3 linked regions of the Saccharomyces cerevisiae S288C genome follow. The gene in region 2 interacts genetically with the main gene of each other region. Each region holds a gene or a part of one and is shown on either strand. Other genes may lie near its edges.

The links.
Region 1: mutations in HSH155 (region 2) and MIF2 impair growth when combined (synthetic growth defect), as found in Saccharomyces cerevisiae (one study listed by BioGRID).
Region 3: of HSH155 (region 2) and TUB1, changing one suppresses a phenotype caused by changing the other (phenotypic suppression), as found in Saccharomyces cerevisiae (one study listed by BioGRID).

What each region holds. Positions count from the first base shown.
Region 1 is NC_001143.9:271,719-275,599, forward strand, and holds MIF2 (Mif2p), read left to right. Parts: upstream 1-1,675; coding exon 1,676-3,325; downstream 3,326-3,881. Other genes in the region: CUE2 (Cue2p), read left to right, coding at 160-1,491; phosphopantothenoylcysteine decarboxylase complex subunit CAB3, read left to right, coding at 3,565-3,881. UniProt on the Saccharomyces cerevisiae protein: Component of the kinetochore, a multiprotein complex that assembles on centromeric DNA and attaches chromosomes to spindle microtubules, mediating chromosome segregation and sister chromatid segregation during meiosis and mitosis.
Region 2 is NC_001145.3:843,600-849,000, forward strand, and holds HSH155 (U2 snRNP complex subunit HSH155), read left to right. Parts: upstream 1-1,971; coding exon 1,972-4,887; downstream 4,888-5,401. Other genes in the region: DSS1 (exoribonuclease II), read right to left, coding at 1-1,746; aminodeoxychorismate lyase ABZ2, read left to right, coding at 5,086-5,401. UniProt on the Saccharomyces cerevisiae protein: Contacts pre-mRNA on both sides of the branch site early in spliceosome assembly.
Region 3 is NC_001145.3:97,416-100,982, reverse strand, and holds TUB1 (alpha-tubulin TUB1), read left to right. Parts: upstream 1-1,582; coding exon 1,583-1,607; intron 1,608-1,723; coding exon 1,724-3,042; downstream 3,043-3,567. Other genes in the region: YML083C (uncharacterized protein), read left to right, coding at 1-1,189. UniProt on the Saccharomyces cerevisiae protein: Tubulin is the major constituent of microtubules, a cylinder consisting of laterally associated linear protofilaments composed of alpha- and beta-tubulin heterodimers.

The sequences.
Region 1 (3,881 bases), on a different chromosome or scaffold from region 2:
TATTGCTTTCACAGTTTGGAAATTGCCTCTATCACCAAGATATTCACTGTTAAAAAAAAAAATGCGAAAAAATTCAAATTTCAACAGCGATATTCGCCTTCAGTATATCAATATAAAGCAATTATGACACCTCATTTATCGTGCATATAAGATCATGCAATGAGTATGGATAACAATGATGACCATGAATCTAAATTGTCAATCTTGATGGACATGTTTCCAGCTATTTCCAAATCCAAATTACAAGTACATTTACTTGAAAACAATAATGATTTGGATTTAACGATAGGCTTGCTGTTAAAAGAAAACGACGATAAGTCTACAGTTGATAATGAATTACATCAACTGTACGACATGTTTCCTCAGCTTGATTGCAGCGTTATAAAAGATCAGTTTGTAATAAATGAGAAGTCCGTAGAATCGACTATTTCTGATCTTCTGAATTATGAAACCCTGCAAAAACTTAAAGACAATCAAGCAAATTCTCCTGATAGCGTAAAAAGGAACGAAAAGAAAAATAATTGGGAATCAACAAACGATCACATAGAGAGTATAATAAAGTTTACCGACGCTCCCAAAAATATTGCGCAGGAATACTTAGCCGAAAATGGTTTTGATACAGTAAAGGCGATCATCAAAATCATTTTGGATTATTACGACAAAAGGGATTTTAAAAAAGATGTGGATACTTTCAAAGTAAAACGGAGTCCTAATACGACTGTGAGAGGTGGTCGAGTTCAATCATCGACGGGGCTTGCCCACGTTTTGAAAAAGGGTAAAGAATCCGCAAATGTTGCTCAAGAGAGTCTCAAAAGGCCAAGGAGTTATAAGCACTCCTTGGATAGTCCGCAGATGGTTGAGTTAAATGAATTAGTTGCAGATAATCGCGATCTCAAAGCCATAAACCATGAATTTTTGCAAAAATGCCTGCAATTTTATGATGGAGATGTTGTAAAGGTGTTGAACATATCGTCCTTATTGATCGAAGATGACAAGAATATTACGAAAACTTGGAACTTTGACGAAGGTTTTACCTTGACATCCAGAGATAATTGTAAGCAACATTTACCCAAATTTTCAACACCGCAGATTTCCCGCAGAAATGAGGTAGGAAATACTTATAAATTGCCCCTTCATGACAAAGAAACCCCCGAGGGAGCTGTGCCGGTTATAAATAACCTGTTTCAAACATACAGATTGGATTTCCATGGTTTTCTTCCCAGTGAAGCGGTTTCAACACTGAAACTTGCATTAAATAAGTGGTGGTCCAAAGAGGTAGCAGAACGAGAGTTGAACTCCCACAACATAAACTCATATGGCTCAAAAGTACAGTTTGTAAGCCCGTTAATCGTGGTAACTGGTAGAGGTATCCACAGCATCGGCGGGATCTCAAAGGTTCGACTGCAGGTTAAAAGTTTTCTTGAAAAAAATCACTACATATTTTGGGAAGAATCTTCCTACTTCAGAATTGAGGGTAAGAAGAAGAAATAAAACCTATCTGATTTTTCTATAAAGGTTATAAACGCTAGGCTTCTTTAAACTGCATTGGGTTTTTTCTCAATTTCGAGAAAAATAATATAACGCGTTAGAAATGGTGATGTAAATAAATGAATGTTAGAAAAATACATACGTTAAACAAATAAGTTAGACATTAGCACAGGACAGCACTTCACTCATGGATTATATGAAATTGGGGCTTAAGTCCCGTAAAACTGGTATTGATGTTAAGCAAGATATACCCAAAGATGAATACAGCATGGAAAATATTGATGATTTTTTCAAAGATGATGAAACTAGTCTTATCAGTATGAGAAGGAAAAGCAGAAGAAAATCATCGCTTTTCTTACCATCAACGTTAAATGGCGATACTAAGAACGTATTACCGCCATTTCTACAGTCATATAAATCTCAAGATGATGAAGTTGTCCAAAGCCCATCTGGGAAAGGCGATGGATCAAGACGATCATCTTTGTTAAGCCATCAATCAAACTTCCTGAGTCCAGCCAATGATTTCGAGCCTATTGAGGAAGAACCAGAACAAGAAGAAAATGATATCAGAGGCAATGATTTTGCCACACCAATCACACAGAAATTGAGTAAACCTACATATAAAAGAAAGTACTCCACTCGGTATAGCCTTGACACTTCAGAAAGCCCTTCTGTAAGGTTGACACCTGATAGAATCACTAATAAGAATGTTTATTCAGATGTACCTGATTTGGTTGCTGATGAGGATGACGATGATAGAGTAAACACTTCTTTAAACACATCTGATAACGCATTATTAGAAGACGAATTAGAAGATGACGGGTTTATACCTGAAAGTGAAGAGGACGGTGATTACATTGAAAGTGACTCATCTTTGGATTCAGGCTCGGATTCAGCCAGTGATTCAGATGGAGATAACACCTATCAAGAAGTAGAAGAGGAGGCTGAGGTGAACACAAATGACAATGAAGATGATTATATAAGACGACAAGCGAGTGATGTGGTTCGTACAGATTCAATAATTGATAGAAACGGGCTTCGGAAATCTACAAGAGTCAAGGTGGCGCCTTTGCAGTATTGGAGGAACGAAAAAATAGTATATAAGAGGAAGTCCAATAAACCCGTTCTTGACATAGACAAAATTGTCACATATGATGAATCTGAAGACGAAGAGGAGATATTGGCAGCACAAAGAAGGAAGAAACAAAAAAAAAAACCTACACCAACCAGACCTTACAACTACGTACCTACGGGGAGACCAAGAGGAAGGCCAAAGAAGGATCCAAATGCAAAGGAAAATTTGATTCCAGAAGATCCCAACGAGGATATTATAGAAAGGATAGAATCTGGAGGCATAGAAAATGGCGAGTGGCTGAAACATGGAATACTGGAAGCTAATGTGAAAATTAGCGACACTAAGGAGGAAACTAAGGATGAAATTATTGCATTCGCGCCCAATTTGTCGCAAACTGAACAAGTAAAAGACACGAAGGACGAGAATTTTGCCCTTGAGATAATGTTCGATAAGCATAAAGAATATTTTGCTAGCGGCATATTAAAACTACCAGCTATTTCTGGACAAAAGAAATTAAGCAACTCATTTAGGACATATATTACGTTCCACGTGATACAGGGAATAGTCGAAGTAACTGTATGTAAGAACAAGTTCTTGAGCGTTAAAGGTTCCACTTTCCAAATACCGGCATTCAACGAGTACGCGATTGCCAATAGAGGGAATGATGAAGCCAAAATGTTCTTCGTTCAAGTGACCGTTTCAGAAGACGCTAACGATGACAACGACAAAGAATTAGACAGTACGTTTGACACTTTTGGGTAATTATGATGTGAATATTCTCATTATGCATGCTATGTACTGAAGAAATATAACTAGGTCCATACGCTTATACTGTTAAACATGTGAACTTTTCTGTAAGAAAATGAATCACGTAAAATTTCGCACCGAACTTTCGTAGATGAGAGAACAAAAAGCAGAAAAAGAGAAAGAACAGTAAAGTAACACTTAGTTAGCATATTTAAATAAAAGTCTAAAGGACCAGCAAAGAGTTATTAGGTGTGATGACGGATGAAAAAGTGAACTCAGATCAGAATATGAACGGTAAGCAGGGAGTTAACTTAATTTCATCCTTGCCTACAACACAAGTGCCGGTTTCAATTTTGACCAACAAGGAGAGAAGAAAAAGTATTCACGATGAATCAAATTTCGAAAGATCTGATAGTCATGAAGATCAATCAAAATCCAACTCTAATAGGAGGAATATTTACAAAAACGATTATAGCACAAATTTGAGGGATTTCTCTTTTGCCAATCTGAAGCAAAATAGTGAAAGGAACAAAGATGGCCATGAAATACAGATCAACACCAGTATGCCAGC
Region 2 (5,401 bases):
TGTACTTATACCCTCAATATCAACATTAGTGCTTTCCGGAAACATAGAAGTTGGATCCGCAATATGAATATATAAAGTGTACAGTCCATCTCTACCATAGTTTTTCACCGACACGCCGTCATCAATCTCATGCGCAGTTTCAGAGTCTATACAAAAAACCCTAAGATCGCCAAAATCGTACCTATCGTCATCAGTGCCGGATTTTTTCCATTGCAATTCTTCTATATTAGTTAAGTCGTAGAGTTTTTGTTGCCATTTCACTAACTTCGAGGAAGCAGGTAATGCTAAATCCATGTTAAGTAACAATGGATTGGGTATTGAGTTGGGTGTTATCTCATTGATTAAATCTTGACATATATCTCTTGTGATGTCACAATCCTTATAGCGTTCTATCTTTCTGAATATTTTTGAGATCAAAGCTACTATAATTCCGTTATTGTGAAAATTCCCAGCAGCAAAATCTTTCAATAATTGGATCACAGAAGGATATAAAGCTGATATATCGCGATATTTCCTTTCATTCACCAATTTTACAAACTTATTGACCTCTCTATAACTGTTGGCTTCTAGCTTCTCTATCACCTGCGCATAATATAAATGTTGTGATTTTAAGGGAATAATCGTTACTGATATAGGCGACAGCAACGCTGTATTCAGATGGATTTCCCCCCAAAGGTTCGATTCCTGTTGTTGCATAATCGCCCAGTACGTGGAAACAAAGGTAGGTGAATTTATTGGTATATCGTTTACAGTGTGATAGTTATTAACTAAACTAGTTAAGTAATTTATTCCATTTTTATCGTCCAAGGCTTTATTTAAATCCAATTTCTGAACTAATCCGACTAGGGTAAAAAAAGGAATCTGCCATGGACCCATATAATTTTGTAATGATCTGTGGAGTAACTGTAATTTTTTGGTAGTAATGGGCAAATCTTTCCAGGCCAACTTTGAAATTTGGGCTGGATACCTACTTGTTATTAGCTGCCTTGCTACAATAGGCAAAATATTCGTTTGGTTAGAAAAGTTCTTAACGGTTCCAATTGGCAAATGTTTGTGATGGCTCTCAGGCTGTATAAGTGAATGGATTCCAGCAGGTAATTTGTGAGGAATCCTCAATAACACCCGGTTTTTGGTCGCAAAGCACATAGTTCCATCAATAGTAACAAAAGTGTATCGAGGATCCATAGTGCTACTTGGAAGACTTACACACATCGCCAATTCATTGGGTCTCATTTTTAAAAGAACAAAGTCACCAACATTTAAGGGACTTTCCATTAGCTGAACAGGTTGAAATTCCATTGGGTTTGGAGCTTTCAGTTTTGTTATTAATTGAAAATCTGAATTTATTAACTTGTAAAGCGGAATTTTTGGTTTTGTTAAAGACCTCCAGGAGTTTACGTACCAATCTTCGGAAGGTTTAACATACCTATCTTTATAACGTTGGTTAAATTCCTGTTTAATTTGAGGCAGTTGTTTTAATTCAATATCAGGCTCTAATCCTTTTGTTCGTTGCAGAAAGTCTTTGTTTATTGATTCTATATCTTTCTCCGGTCCAACCGAACGGTCTACAACTGTCTCTGTAGCTTGATCATTATCTAGCTCTCGTGTGTGATCTAGTTCTACTTTTGCTTGCTGCTTACTCTTACTTCGCTGTCGTTTGCCTCTGGTAGTTACTCTGAAGCAAGGTGTGTAGGAATGAAAGCTCCTTGCAATTAGAAGAACATGTACTTTCCGCCTAACTACCATCACCTGTCTTTATTTATTCCGCTGACAGATATGCACAACCAATTATCGTCTCTTGAAAGCTTTTTAGACGTGATTGCTGTTATTTGGCACGTTGTTAGTATTTAAGCTTATTCGGGTTTGCATTGATATTTGCCCGAGCAGAAATCTCCTTCTCGATGAGTTAGAACTGAAACATCTCTTCAATTACTTATACATAATAAACATAGAAAGCCAGGACCTGTCATCATGAGTCATCCGATTCAATTTGTAAACGCTAATAATAGCGATAAGAGCCACCAATTAGGCGGTCAATATTCTATTCCTCAGGATTTGAGGGAAAACCTGCAGAAAGAAGCTGCACGTATTGGTGAGAACGAAAAAGATGTGCTACAGGAAAAAATGGAAACTAGGACAGTGCAAAATCGAGAGGATTCATACCACAAAAGAAGGTTTGATATGAAGTTTGAGCCGGATTCCGATACACAAACTGTTACGTCTTCAGAAAATACCCAAGACGCTGTCGTGCCAAGGAAAAGAAAATCTCGTTGGGATGTAAAAGGGTACGAGCCACCTGATGAATCTTCAACAGCGGTCAAAGAAAACTCTGATAGTGCTTTGGTTAATGTAGAAGGAATCCATGATTTGATGTTTTTTAAACCTTCTGACCATAAATATTTCGCCGACGTTATATCCAAAAAACCCATAGATGAGTTAAATAAGGATGAAAAGAAAGAAAGAACCCTGTCGATGTTACTTCTGAAAATAAAAAATGGCAATACAGCGAGTAGGAGGACTTCTATGCGGATTTTAACCGATAAAGCTGTTACATTTGGTCCAGAAATGATATTTAACCGCTTATTGCCCATATTACTAGACAGAAGTTTGGAAGACCAGGAAAGACATCTAATGATCAAGACCATAGATCGCGTCCTTTACCAGCTAGGAGATTTAACAAAACCTTACGTTCACAAAATACTTGTAGTAGCTGCCCCATTGCTAATAGATGAAGATCCAATGGTTCGTTCAACAGGCCAGGAGATAATCACCAATCTGTCTACAGTCGCTGGCCTAAAAACCATTCTAACAGTAATGAGACCTGATATTGAGAATGAGGATGAGTATGTTAGAAATGTAACTTCAAGAGCGGCGGCTGTGGTGGCAAAAGCCCTTGGTGTTAATCAATTGCTTCCTTTCATCAATGCAGCATGCCACTCACGGAAGTCTTGGAAAGCAAGGCATACTGGCATAAAAATTGTGCAGCAAATAGGTATACTTTTGGGAATAGGTGTCTTGAATCATCTTACTGGGCTGATGAGTTGTATCAAAGACTGCCTAATGGATGATCACGTTCCGGTGCGAATTGTTACAGCACATACTTTATCAACACTAGCAGAAAATTCTTATCCATATGGTATCGAAGTTTTCAACGTTGTACTGGAGCCATTATGGAAGGGTATAAGAAGTCATCGTGGTAAAGTGCTATCTTCTTTTTTAAAAGCTGTTGGATCTATGATCCCATTGATGGACCCAGAGTATGCCGGTTATTATACCACAGAAGCAATGAGAATAATTAGACGTGAATTCGACTCTCCCGATGATGAAATGAAAAAGACCATTCTTTTAGTATTACAAAAATGTAGCGCTGTAGAATCCATAACGCCAAAATTTCTGAGAGAAGAAATCGCGCCAGAATTCTTTCAAAAATTTTGGGTCAGACGAGTGGCATTGGATAGACCATTAAACAAAGTTGTTACATATACTACTGTTACATTAGCAAAGAAATTAGGTTGTTCTTATACCATTGATAAATTATTAACACCATTGAGAGATGAAGCTGAGCCGTTCAGAACAATGGCTGTCCATGCTGTTACTAGAACAGTAAACTTATTAGGGACAGCAGATTTAGATGAGAGATTAGAAACGAGGCTTATTGATGCGCTCTTGATAGCATTTCAAGAACAAACAAATAGTGATTCTATAATCTTTAAAGGGTTTGGGGCAGTGACGGTGTCACTTGACATCCGTATGAAACCGTTTTTAGCACCCATTGTGAGTACGATTTTAAATCATTTAAAGCATAAAACTCCCTTGGTTCGTCAACATGCAGCAGATCTATGTGCCATACTAATACCAGTCATCAAGAACTGTCACGAATTCGAAATGTTGAATAAATTGAACATTATATTGTATGAATCCTTAGGCGAAGTATATCCAGAGGTATTAGGTTCTATAATCAACGCTATGTACTGTATTACTAGCGTAATGGATTTGGATAAACTACAACCTCCTATTAATCAAATTTTACCAACCTTAACTCCAATTTTAAGAAACAAGCATAGAAAAGTCGAAGTAAACACTATCAAATTTGTTGGACTTATTGGTAAATTAGCACCTACCTATGCACCTCCTAAAGAATGGATGAGAATATGTTTTGAACTATTAGAACTTTTGAAAAGTACAAATAAAGAAATAAGAAGATCAGCAAATGCCACGTTTGGATTCATTGCTGAAGCAATTGGACCTCACGATGTTCTTGTTGCGTTATTGAACAATTTAAAGGTTCAAGAACGTCAGTTACGTGTATGCACGGCTGTTGCTATCGGTATCGTTGCTAAAGTGTGTGGTCCTTACAACGTGCTGCCAGTAATCATGAATGAATACACAACACCAGAGACTAATGTTCAAAACGGTGTTCTCAAGGCCATGTCATTCATGTTTGAGTACATTGGTAACATGTCTAAGGATTACATATACTTCATAACACCATTATTAGAAGATGCACTCACCGATAGGGATTTAGTTCATCGTCAGACAGCGTCGAACGTAATAACCCACTTAGCTTTAAACTGTTCAGGTACAGGTCACGAAGATGCCTTCATTCATTTAATGAATCTTCTAATACCCAATATTTTTGAAACTTCACCACATGCTATTATGCGTATTTTAGAAGGTTTGGAGGCACTGAGTCAAGCTCTTGGCCCTGGACTATTCATGAACTACATATGGGCAGGATTGTTCCATCCAGCGAAGAATGTAAGGAAAGCATTTTGGAGGGTGTATAATAACATGTACGTAATGTACCAGGACGCCATGGTACCTTTTTACCCCGTTACACCAGACAACAATGAAGAATATATAGAAGAACTGGATTTAGTTCTGTGAATATATATAGAGCATATAAATAACCACAACTTGTAAGAATATTTTACTTGACACACCTATATCATCACGTCACGATGCCTTCATAGATTATGATGAAATATAAACAGAACCTGCTATTGGAAAAAAAAGGGCAGGAAAAAATTTTGTGAAAGTGAGTAAAAGAAAGATGAAGAGCGAGACATGGATAATAAGAAATAGATGTCACTAATGGACAATTGGAAGACTGATATGGAAAGTTACGATGAAGGAGGCCTAGTTGCTAATCCGAACTTCGAGGTTCTGGCCACTTTCAGGTACGACCCTGGTTTTGCACGCCAGTCAGCGTCAAAGAAAGAGATCTTTGAAACTCCAGACCCTCGATTAGGTTTGAGAGACGAAGATATTAGGCAGCAGATAATTAATGAGGATTACTCAAGTTATTTACGAGTAAGGGAGGTTAATTCCGGCGGTGACCTTCTCGAAAATATTCAGCATCCTGATGCTTGGAAGCATGATTGCAAGACCATTGTGTGCC
Region 3 (3,567 bases), 750 kb from region 2:
CCTATCGCCCGTTCTGCCCCCAATCATATTGGCGTTAGATCAACAACATTCGCTGACATTTGGGTACTCCAGCCCCAGGTGCTTGCCAACACCCATATTGCCTTCTATGAGCACAAATACGCCCGTCCATTGGTCACAACAGGTTGTCACTATCCCTGTCGCTGTACGAAATCATGCCGCAATGATGCCTATTATCACACCTATGACCTCCCCAAGACCTCAGTTTGAAGCAACGGCTCCCTCACCCCCTTTGGCCCCGGTCGCCATAAAGCTGCCAGATTTGAAACTACCACCGTCGCCTGTGCCCAGCACAGTAGAGGACAGAGTTTCACATCCTATCCTGCCCAAAATTGTGATCGGGAATGGCGGCGGCCGTGATGTTGAGCGAGATAGTACCGAGGAATTAATTAGGAAGATTCCAAACTACATTGGTTGTGCAAAAACAAAGGCACAATTGAGCAAAGTTAGGTCTGGTAAACAACTAATTGCATGCGCACAGGAATATCACCATCCAGTAAACAAGGACGAGATCGAAAATATCAACAACATTCTAAACTTCAGGGACTTTATTTTCAAGCATCCAAAATCCTCCTTCGAGTTCCTATGTACCCTGTCGTTTGAGCAGTTCGTTAGAGTATATTCATTCATTAGTTTCATCTACAGGACAAAGAAAATCAATAAGAACAAGTACGAACTCGTTTGTGAGATGAATGTTCACGAGCAACTCAGCAATAAGCGTATACAAAGAACAAGGACTCCTGAAAAGTACAAAATACATTTGATCTGCGAGTCAAAACTCATACTGACCTTCAACCACTGTACGAAGACAGTAAAATTTGAGTCTATCAATGGCGGGCACTGCCATCCGATTTCAGCCAACCACATTATCAAGCCCTCCCTCTTCCTTACCCACTGCATTAATAAATGCTACCAGACCGTGTCAGACCCTACCGATTTGAAATTGGCATTGAGAGACGCCTTAGAAGCCCTTGATCATGAAAGGATAGGATTGTCTTTCTTAAAGAGGAGACATTTCAAGTGCTCACACCAAGCATCATCACTCTCGAATGCCAGCGCCACATTGAAGAAACAAGAAGATCATGACACATTTGGTGTACATACAGGAATAATTCATACGGCAAATTTCTTCATGTTTAATGCATCTAGCGATATATTCCAGAGGAACTAACATATATAAATATCTGTATCCTTCTTTAAGAAAACACAATTGCATACTTTTTCCATTATAACTGACTGTTTCAGATCCTGCAATAGAAAGTATTTTTTAAGTAATGAAATAGTGCTTCCATTGATAGTAAGTGAGTAATAAGACGATCGGAAACTATTAATATAAGTATAGTTTACATATATATATATATATATGTGCCAGACGATAATATCACCGTAGTTTCCGGCCGGGTTATGCCACGCGAAAACGCCTCGAGCCAAGGGAAAAACTAAACTACAAAACAAAACAAAACAAAACAAAAACATCTACTATATCGTTTTACCCAATTCAGTATATCCGTCTACAACAGTTCTCGCCACCCAAGATCTGTAAACTTACAACTGCAAACAAACAATGAGAGAAGTTATTAGTATTAATGGTATGTTCGATTTGCCCGTCCAGGCTAGATCTTTTTTTTGTTAGTTCATTTTGGCGTTTCATCTTTCATTACTAACTTCAACGCAAAATTTTTTTTTTTTTGATTTCTCTTTACAGTCGGTCAAGCTGGTTGTCAGATTGGTAATGCCTGTTGGGAATTATATTCCCTTGAGCACGGTATTAAGCCGGATGGACATCTAGAAGATGGCCTTTCAAAGCCGAAGGGAGGAGAAGAGGGTTTCTCCACGTTTTTCCATGAAACCGGCTACGGTAAGTTCGTTCCAAGGGCTATTTACGTGGATTTAGAGCCCAACGTTATTGACGAAGTCCGTAACGGTCCTTACAAGGACTTGTTCCATCCAGAACAGTTGATCAGTGGTAAGGAGGACGCGGCTAATAATTATGCAAGAGGCCATTACACCGTTGGTAGAGAAATTTTGGGCGATGTTCTGGATAGGATTAGAAAACTGGCAGACCAATGTGATGGGTTACAAGGGTTCTTGTTTACCCATTCTCTTGGTGGTGGTACTGGTTCCGGTCTAGGGTCCTTACTGTTGGAAGAACTATCCGCTGAATACGGTAAGAAATCCAAGCTGGAATTTGCCGTATACCCTGCTCCACAAGTGTCTACTTCTGTGGTTGAGCCTTACAACACAGTTTTAACTACACATACTACATTGGAACATGCAGATTGTACTTTCATGGTCGATAATGAGGCTATTTACGACATGTGCAAAAGAAACTTGGATATCCCAAGACCAAGCTTTGCAAACTTAAACAACCTAATTGCTCAAGTGGTATCATCTGTTACAGCATCATTGAGATTCGACGGTTCATTAAATGTAGATTTGAACGAATTTCAAACCAATTTGGTTCCATATCCAAGAATTCATTTCCCCTTAGTTTCATATTCTCCAGTCTTATCCAAATCAAAGGCATTCCATGAGTCCAACTCTGTGTCAGAAATTACAAACGCTTGTTTTGAACCTGGTAACCAGATGGTCAAGTGTGATCCAAGAGATGGTAAATACATGGCTACTTGTCTGTTATACAGGGGTGATGTGGTAACAAGAGATGTTCAAAGAGCTGTCGAGCAGGTGAAAAACAAGAAGACCGTCCAATTGGTTGATTGGTGTCCAACTGGTTTCAAGATCGGTATTTGCTACGAACCTCCAACTGCCACACCAAACTCACAATTGGCCACTGTGGATAGGGCCGTCTGTATGTTGTCAAATACCACATCCATTGCTGAGGCTTGGAAGAGAATCGATAGAAAATTCGATTTAATGTATGCCAAACGTGCTTTCGTCCACTGGTATGTCGGTGAAGGTATGGAAGAAGGTGAATTCACCGAAGCTAGAGAAGATTTGGCTGCTTTAGAAAGAGATTACATCGAAGTGGGTGCCGACTCATACGCTGAGGAAGAGGAATTTTAAGGTTCACTCTCGCCCCCAACCTCCTTATCCTTTCTATATTTCAAGTATATTGTAAAAAAAAAAATTCCCCCTACTGTTATATCTCTTTGGTGATATCTTATCTATAATCTACTTATTATATTTCTCTAATATCTATGTACAAAAAATAAAAAAAAAAACCATTCTCCTTCTCTAACCTGCATTTGATGAAAGCTTAGTAAGTCTCATCGTAGTTGATGGGCCAAAGACATTTGTACTTGTTTCATCAGATTCTTACATCACCCATTTCCATGATTATTTCACGGATTTCATTAGTAATTGCATTTTTGTATCCCTAGTTCCTTTTCTCCCGCCTTGCCGTCGAATTGAAAAAAAAAATGGAAATGAGGACATCTTCCATTGATATCCAGGACAAAGCAAGAGTAGAAGTAACTATTAGCAAGGAGAATTCCAAAAATAGTGAACTTCAAGGTAAGCAGATCTATAGTTTCAATATCTGATTTTCTGCTTTTCAAAACTTAAAATTCATTAGAAGGTAAAACAAGA